Linked DNA regions of Caenorhabditis elegans. The protein of the gene in region 1 interacts with the protein of each later gene in a pairwise test. Each region holds a gene or a part of one and is shown on either strand. Other genes may lie near its edges.

Evidence for each region.
Region 2: the proteins of nhr-208 (region 1) and Y69H2.3 interact in a two-hybrid assay, tested with the Caenorhabditis elegans proteins (one large-scale study listed by BioGRID).

The regions. Positions count from the first base shown.
Region 1 is NC_003283.11:12,092,754-12,096,436, reverse strand, and holds nhr-208 (Nuclear Hormone Receptor family), read right to left. Parts: upstream 2,121-3,683; 5' UTR 2,064-2,120; coding exon 2,025-2,063; intron 1,966-2,024; coding exon 1,837-1,965; intron 1,788-1,836; coding exon 1,679-1,787; intron 1,634-1,678; coding exon 1,482-1,633; intron 1,438-1,481; coding exon 1,247-1,437; intron 1,199-1,246; coding exon 846-1,198; intron 802-845; coding exon 542-801; downstream 1-541. Other genes in the region: nhr-207 (Nuclear receptor), read right to left, coding at 8-106, 156-203; nhr-206 (Nuclear receptor), read right to left, coding at 2,715-2,974, 3,021-3,373, 3,416-3,606, 3,650-3,683.
Region 2 is NC_003283.11:18,661,126-18,665,977, reverse strand, and holds the start of Y69H2.3 (Follistatin-like domain-containing protein), read left to right. Parts: upstream 1-1,851; 5' UTR 1,852-1,881; coding exon 1,882-1,948; intron 1,949-1,990; coding exon 1,991-2,067; intron 2,068-2,116; coding exon 2,117-2,252; intron 2,253-3,166; coding exon 3,167-3,361; intron 3,362-3,427; coding exon 3,428-3,619; intron 3,620-3,664; coding exon 3,665-3,859; intron 3,860-4,266; coding exon 4,267-4,356; intron 4,357-4,800; coding exon 4,801-4,852.

The sequences.
Region 1 (3,683 bases):
AACTAACATCATAGTGATATCCAACAGCTGGATTTCGGCATATGCGACATTGTTTCGGTAATATATTTTTTGTATTGGGGTCGCATTTCGTTTCCTCATCTGTTATCTGGAAAACTTCGATTAAAAAATTGCGTGCTTAGTTTCCAACAACTTACTTCGATATCTGGTAAAATATAGTCGCTAGTTGATTCTTCGCTAGTCATTCGTGATTTACTATGTATTAGTAATCACAAAATATGCAAAAAGATGGTACTCCCTTCCCATGTGGTTGCAAGTGGCGCTTCAAATTTCTTGTGCGTTCTGCGTCTCTACGTACGAGACCAACAGGATCAAAATGTTAGAGAGTCAGGGCGTTGGTATAACCATGAATTGTGTGATTTGAGTCATCGGTAGTCACAAAATTTTGTAGCTTTCCGTGTCAATAAAACTACGGCAGTAAAAGGAGTAATAATACAAATTTGCAAAACAACATGTGTAATATGCAAGAGACAATGAATTCGTATTTATTTTTATCAAATAAAAGAAATTAAACAAAAACTGATTATGCTGACATAATTTCATCAAACAAAGGGCTAACCAAGACAATTGCATCGGGAAAAGACGCACGGAGCAGAATGTTAAAGCTTTTTTCTTCCTTTTGTTGTAGTTCCATAGATGAAATTATTGATAATACTGATGCAAATCTAGATGGTCCATTATTTTCTGCATATTCCCTCAAGCAATAAGTCAGAAGACATTGAGCAAATCTGTTCCGTTCTCGTTCAATTATTTTTTGATCTTGAGCAAAAAGATCGGAGACAGCTGAAAACAATGATTGGCAAAACAAAGAATGTTATGTTACTGGCCTGGATTTAATATAGTTATAACTTTCAGAAATAAGTATTCTACATCATTCAATTTAATACGAAGAAACGCTCGTAGAACTCTTTGTACAATTTTTCTATGATCAACCCAAACACCATTCCAACTTTTTGCCGGTTTTCCAGAAATTGTTCCATCTGTACGTCGTAATGTATCTGAATTGAACTTTTGAATAGATCTTCTGCTCGTCATCATTGATCCACACATAAATAATCCATGTCTGACAAGTTTTTGAACAGTATCAATTGATAATTTTGGAAATATATCAAGCATTTTTGTAAACTCCAAGGCAGCTAGGCTTGCGTTATGAGCAAATCCAGCATGATCAGGGAAGAGTCTAAAACGATTAAAAAAATTTCAATAACAATTAGGTAAGAAAACTCACTGGTTTGGTTGAAAAGACAAGTTCGGAATTTTCGACATTTCAAGAATTGGATGAGCTTTGAGGATTTCCGTTACAGTACGCCAATCACAATAATTTGATGGCCATTTTGAATTGAAAAGATCGTCAATTTTATTTTCTATTAAACTTAGCTTAGAAATAGATATACTCAGATCATCTTCCGCTGTTTTTGGCTGGAAAACTTTTGGTGTTCGTTTATCAATACTCATATTTTTACAGATAACATGACCAACTTATCAGCTTCTCGATTTTTCAGAAGCTGATTTTTCAGTATCTCTCCATTCGATGAGATTTCAGCTCTAATTGCTCTTGGATTCATTCCAACTTTGACACATTTTGAAAATCTACATCCTGGGCAAATCCTACGGTCTATAAAAGTATTCAACAAGTGAGCCAAAACGGTAAATTACTAACTTATTGGAATTTCTTCTTCTAAACATGTCCCCCATTTCTTGCATGCAACTTGTCTCCCAGTGATAACAGTTCTACGAAAAAATGCCTTACATCCATTGCATGATGCGATCTGAAAACATACTAAAGTTTTAGGCTTTAGGAAAAATTGGAACACAAACATCGTAGTGATATCCGATTGCTGGATTTCCACATATTTCACATTTTGAAGGTAGATTATGTCTAGGACACTTGATCGATGTAGAAGTTAGAATTGAGTAAGATGATGATTCTTGGCTTCTTTGGTCTATCTGTAATAATTTGCTAAATGTTCAACAAATGTAAAAAACAGAGAAACCAAATAATTAACCTCAATATCCGGAAGAATATCAGCTAGATCTTTGTCCATAGTTAAAGTATAATAGTATTACGTTAGATTGCCTGTTTCCCGATTATCGTCCGTCCAACAAAGATCATAAAGTAAGGGAGAGAGAGTGAGAGGGTGAAAAGGTACAAAGGAAAAGATGACGGTGAAATACTTTCAACTTTTGTGTACTTCTGACTCGTGTTTGTTTCCACTACACTATATTGATGCTTTCCAAGAATTTCAATTCCAATCAGTGAATATCTTTTTGACAGTGTATCTTTATTTATACTATTATACTAAAATATATGTCTCTAACTTTCTTCCTAATATATTTTATCAACAATCGACGCTGAATGGCGGGAAATGTTTCATTTGGGCACAATCAGTTTATTTTTCGGTTGAATTCGGCTTAGTTATGAGCTCAATTGTTGTCTGAAATAGCCAATTGCCAAAAAAACAAACTTTTAAGGATCCGTCTAACATGTTTTCAAAGGACAAAAAATCGGAGAGACAAGAGGACACACAGTACATGCAACTACTCCTTTCTCAGTGATTTAATCACAAGCTTTTATTTTCTATTTAATGTCCTTCAAAAGCCAACGAACAAATATTCAATAAATGTACAACTAAACACAAGTTGCATTTGGTATAAAAATGAAAGTTCAACAAAAACAATTTAATAGAAAAATTATTTTAATAATTAGAAATTTCATCGAATAAAGGACTGACAAAAACATCAAATTCAGAATAAATTGAACGGAAAACGAAAAAACAACTTTTCTCTTCTTTTTGCTGCACTTCCATAATTGACATAATTGATAGTATTGATGCAAATCGATCAGCACCGTGAATCTGTCCATGTTGTTTCAAACAATAATTGAGAAGGCTTTGTGCATAATTAAATCTGTGTTTATCGATTATTTTCTGATCTTCAGCAGGAAAATCGGAGACAGCTTAAATTTGACTCTAGTAATTGAGCTCAAGAAATATTTTACCCACCTGGATTACACATCGTAATCGCTTTGAGAAATAAATACTCTACATAATCCAATTTCACACGAAGAATTGAATGTAATGTTTTCTGGGCTATTCTTCTATGATCCAACATTACTCCATTCCAATTAGTTTTTGGTTTTCCTGCCACAGAGCCATCAGTAAAACGTAAGATATCGGAGTTGTACTTTTGAATTGATCTACGACTGAACGATAGTGATCCACACATGAATAATCCATGCTTAACCAATTTTATGGCAGTCTCTTTTGATATTTTTGGAAAGAAATCGAGCATTTTTGCATATTCAACCATAGCAAGACTACCGTTATGTGCATATCCAGCTAGTTCAGCATTCATTCTAAAAATAAGATTTAAAAATGAAGTAAAGTGGATTTCTTACTGATTTCGTATCAATTTCAAATTTGGAATTTTTGAAACTTTTAAGTATGGCTTCATCTGAATTATTTCTGAAAGTGTTCTCCAATCTCCATAATTTATTGGCAAACTTGAATTAAAAAGTTCATCGATTTGATTCTCAATCAGATTCAAATCAGAAATCAATCTGCTCACTTCATTTTCTTTCGATTTCGGCTGAAAATCATTCAGATATACAAAAAACAACAATAATACTTACAGATAACATAATTTTAGATCGTGGTTCTCTTTTC
Region 2 (4,852 bases), 6.6 Mb from region 1:
CATTTCCTATAACCCGAAACATCCAAAAAACAATAAATTCTGCCAAAAACCGCCAAATTTTCAGTTTTTTTGCCGGTTTTTTCTCCAAAAGTAGTCCCAAAACCCCATTTTCTCGAAAATTTTACATTTTTCTCAAATTTTCTATCAGAAAATTCAATTTTCCCGCCAAACCCCCCTACAAATCCCAATCTCCACACATCATTTACAAAAAAAAACGTGTAAAAAATGTGTGGGAGATCAAAAAATAAAAGATTTGGCGGGTTGGGGGATTAACCCTTCAATTTCCGTTTTTTCTAGTCAACTCGCGCGTGTTCATTTAATCCAAAAATCCACTACAACTTTGTGAATTTCGTTAGATTTTCGTTTATTTTTTTGTTGGTTCGAAATATTGATTTTGTCTCGTCATTTAGTCGTATAATTTTAGTACTCAAGTGTAGTTTGTAGTTTGTAGTGAAACTGCCCATGCTGTCCCATTTCGGTTTGATCTACCCCCCAGATCTACAAGAATTGCGGGAATTTAGACGCAGAGTTCTCAAATGATTTTCAAAAACTTGCAGAAATTTCAAATTTCCTATACAAAAATATCTGAAAAACTGATTTTCCTGTAGAAAAACGTCTGAAAAATCGATTTTTATATGTAAAAAATTTCTGAAATTTCGAATTTCCTATATAAAAATCTCTAAACATTTCACATTTCTTATGTAAAAATGTTTGAAAAAGTGATATTCCAGTAGAAAAATGGCAGAAATTTCAAATTTTCTATGTAAAAATGCATGAAATTTCAAACTGTTATGAAAAAATATCCTAAAAATATGATTTTCCAGTATAAAATGTCCTAAATTTCAAATTTTTTGTATAGAAATCTGAAATATTGAATTTCTCATGTGAAAATATCTGAAAAATTGATTTTCTAGCAGAAAATGCCGGAAATTTTGAATTTTTTAGTACAAAAACGTAAAAAATTTGAACTTCCTATATAAAAAATTCTTGAAGTTTCAGATTTCATGTTTAAAAATGTCTAGAAAATTGATTTTCCTGTAAAAAAAACGTTTGAACTTTCAAATTTTCTATGTAAAAATGTCTAAAATTTCCATTTATTCATTTAAAAGTGGCCGAAATCCTGAATTTCACAGTTCAAAATACCGGAAAAATACATTTTTCAGTCGAAACATGTCTCAAATTTTGAATTTTTTTATATAAAAAATTTCTGAAAAAAGTGATTTTCCAGTAGAAAAATGGCAGAAATTCTGAATTTCCTATGTAAAAATTCCTGAAATTTCGAATTTTCAGTGTAAAAATATTTGAAATTTTGAGTTTCCTGTAAAATAATGTCTCAAAATTTGATTTGTCTATATAAAAAATGCCGTAAATTTCCAATTTCCTATGTAAAAATATCTGAAAAGTTGATTTTTCCTATGTAAAATTGTCTGAAATTCATAGATTTTTTCTATAATTTTTTTTTGGAAAAAACAGTTCAAACTACATATTTAAACTTGAAAACATATCAAAAAATATTTACTTTGAACAATAGTTTTTTCCCGAAAATTCCATGTTTTTTTGCAATATTTGCATATTGTTTTCAAGTTTTCTGTAACTTCGAATGTTGTTTTTCTTTAAACTCCCCATTTTTTCCCAGCAATTTCTGCAAAATTTCCAATCTTTTGACCCCAAAAATCATCAAAACACAGACATTTTTTTTTGTTTACTTTCTCCTTTTCTCTCTCAAAACATAATGTTTTCCGCACTTTTGATGTCTGATTTCTCGATTTTCTGGTTTTTTTATTATAATGTTTTTCCTGAAACTTTATGTTTTGGTTCGCATAAAAATGCTATAAAATGGCGTGATTTTATAGTTTTCCAGAGTTTCCGAGTTTCGGAGCGATGCAGTATATTGTGCTGCTCAGCGTTCTGCTCATCGGAGCAAACGCTCAACTTTCAGCGACAAGAGGTAAGTTTTTCCAACCTAAAAGTGTACCTAAACCCCTTTCAGACCAAGAATGCAAAGAAAACGAGAGCTTCCAGACGTGTGGCACGGCTTGCGAGCCGACTTGCGGGCTTCCGACTCCGGTGAGCAGATTTTGTTGTCAAATTCCGGCTTACAACGTGGTTTTTGCAGACTTTTTGCACACTGCAATGCGTCATGGGATGTCAGTGTAACAGTGGATTCTTCCGCAGAACTTCGGATAATCGTTGTGTTGAGCAGAAGGACTGCAATGTTGCGGCGAATGAGACGATTCCAATTCCACCACCAGGTTAGAAGGGGACACAGACTAAAATTTGGGCCGGGCTACGCAGTCTCGGAATCTGAAATTTTGGGTCCGCTAGTACATCAGAGTTTCCAGACAAGGCCCAATCTCTAAGGCCGCACTGGCCCTACAGACAATGGCCCGGAGTTCGAAACGGGTATCTAGACCCAGAGCTTGGGGGTATCAGCCTCCTGACTTTGTGGGCGCCAAGCCCAGAGTTCAAGGGTCCCAGGCCCAGAGTTCGGGGGTACCTGCCCCAAATTTTGGGGATACCGAAAGACTAAATTTTGGGCCGGGCTGCACACGGAGTCCTGGAATCTGATGTTTTGGAGCGCGGGGTCCGCTTGAAAATCAGATCTTCCTGACAAGGCCCATTCTCTAAGGCATCTCAGGCCCTACAGACACTGGCCCGGAGTTCGAAACGGGTATCTAGACCCAGGTACCAGCCCCCAGAGTTCATGGATCTTAGGCCCAGAGTTCAGGGGTGCCAGGCCCAAAGTTCAGAGGTCCCCAGCCCAGAGTTCAGGGATACCAGCTCCACAGTTCAGGGTCCCCAGCCACAGAGTTCATGGGTTCCAGGCCCAGATTTCGTGGGTACCTGGCCCAGAGCTCGGGGACTGCCGGACCCAGAGTTAAAGAATACCAAGCCTTGAGCTCCACGGTAACAAGCCCAGAGCTCCACGGTACCGAGCCCAGATCGTGGGTACCAGTGCCAGACTTCAAGGGTAACAAGCCCAGAGTTAATGGGTCACAGGCCCAGAGTTCATGGGTACCAAGCTCAGAGCTTGGGGTACCGAGCCCAGATCGTGGGTACCAGCGCCAGACTTCAAGGGTGCCAAGCACAAACCTACCAGGCATCCTAAAGCCTCCAAACCAAGACCCCCGACCCCAAACCCCTCTAACCCCCCACCAATTTCCAGCCACCAACCTCACATGCCCAGTCAACGAGGTATCCAACGAGTGCCACAACCCATGCACCGAGAAGAAGTGCCCACAAAAGAATGCTCCACAGGTGAACTGCTTGATGGCCTGCCAAGTCGGATGCTCCTGCATGGACGGATTCGTCAGAAACAACCAAGGAGTGTGTGTCAAGGAGGCCGAGTGCCCAGCGATTGGTAAGTACTCTAAAAATTGGACGAAAAAATGCACCAGAATTGCGCCACCGCACTGCAACTTTCCAGGCTCTCAAACCTGCGGAACCAACGAGGAGCCCAACCAGTGTCACAACGCGTGCTTCGAGAAAAAGTGTCCGGTTAAGCCCCAGCCACTGGTAAACTGTATGGAGAAATGCGACATCGGATGTTCCTGCAAAAAGGGATTCCTCCGGAACCGCCAGGGACAGTGTGTGAACCCTACCGAGTGTCCGGCTACTGGTGGGTACCGTTTTAAAGGAAACTAGTTAGAGCCAGTGATTCTAGGCTCCACACTGACTTGCTCCAAGAATGAGGAGCCCAATGACTGTCACAATTCGTGCTCCGAGGCAAAATGTCCTGTCAATCCACAGCCATTTGTTAGGTGCATGATGAGGTGCGAAAAAGCATGCTCTTGCAAGAAGGGACTCGTTAGGAACCGGCAGGGACAGTGTGTGAAGCTTGCAGAGTGCCCACCGACTGGTTAGTAGGGCTGAAGCCTAGTTCTAGTGGCTTTAGGGGTCTCGAGTGAATTTTCGGGCAAAAAGTCATGTTAAATAGGCTTCTGGCAAAGTTTTGATGAAAATATCTAAGAAAATTGAGCTGAGCTCAGTTTTAGAGAGTTTTAGCAAGTTTGGTGTCTTGAAACGAATTTTTGCGGCATTTTTGACTCCGCTGTTGATTTTTAGAACAATTTTGCGATTATGAGCAGGTTTGCATCAAAATTGATGTAAATCTAGGCCTTTCAACAAAAGTTTTAGTTTTTGGACCAAAATTTCGGTGCAAAAAACGACTTGACCCCTTTTTTCGACAAATCCGGAGCAATTTTCCTATTTTGGGGCAGTTTTGAGCAGAATTTTTTGATTTTCCCCTACAAATGTGGTTTCCAGGCAAGACTGACACAAACCCATGTGCCTTGGTACTCTGCAAGCCCGGTCACCGATGCACCATGTCAACTGGCCAGGCAACTTGTGTGCCAGGTATCATTTTTTCTGTCCGCGGGCGCTGGTTTGGTGCGGTTCTTTGCTAAAATTCTGAGAATTTGGTGTCCTGAAATGGACTTGGATGGAATTTTGACAAATTTGTGGATTTTCGGAACGATTTTCACATTTTGGGACAGTTTTGGACCAATTTTATGGGGATATTGGCTTTTGACATACTTTTTGGCAGTTTTTTGACGAAAACGTTTTTTTGGCACACATTTTGGTTTAACGTGCGAGTTTCAACAAATCTGCCAACTTTCGGCACATTTTTGAATCAATTTTGAAGGTTTGGGGTTGTTTTTGACGCAAAAATCGGGATTTTAGCTTGTTTTCATGCCAAAATCATGATGCAACGACGTAATGACTTGACGCAATCCTGGTGCATACCCTGCGACTCAAAATATACGAATTTTCCGACTCTAACATATAAATTGTTTCCAGGCAGCACTGACGAGAACCCATGCAACTTGGTGGACTGCCGTACCGGTCACCA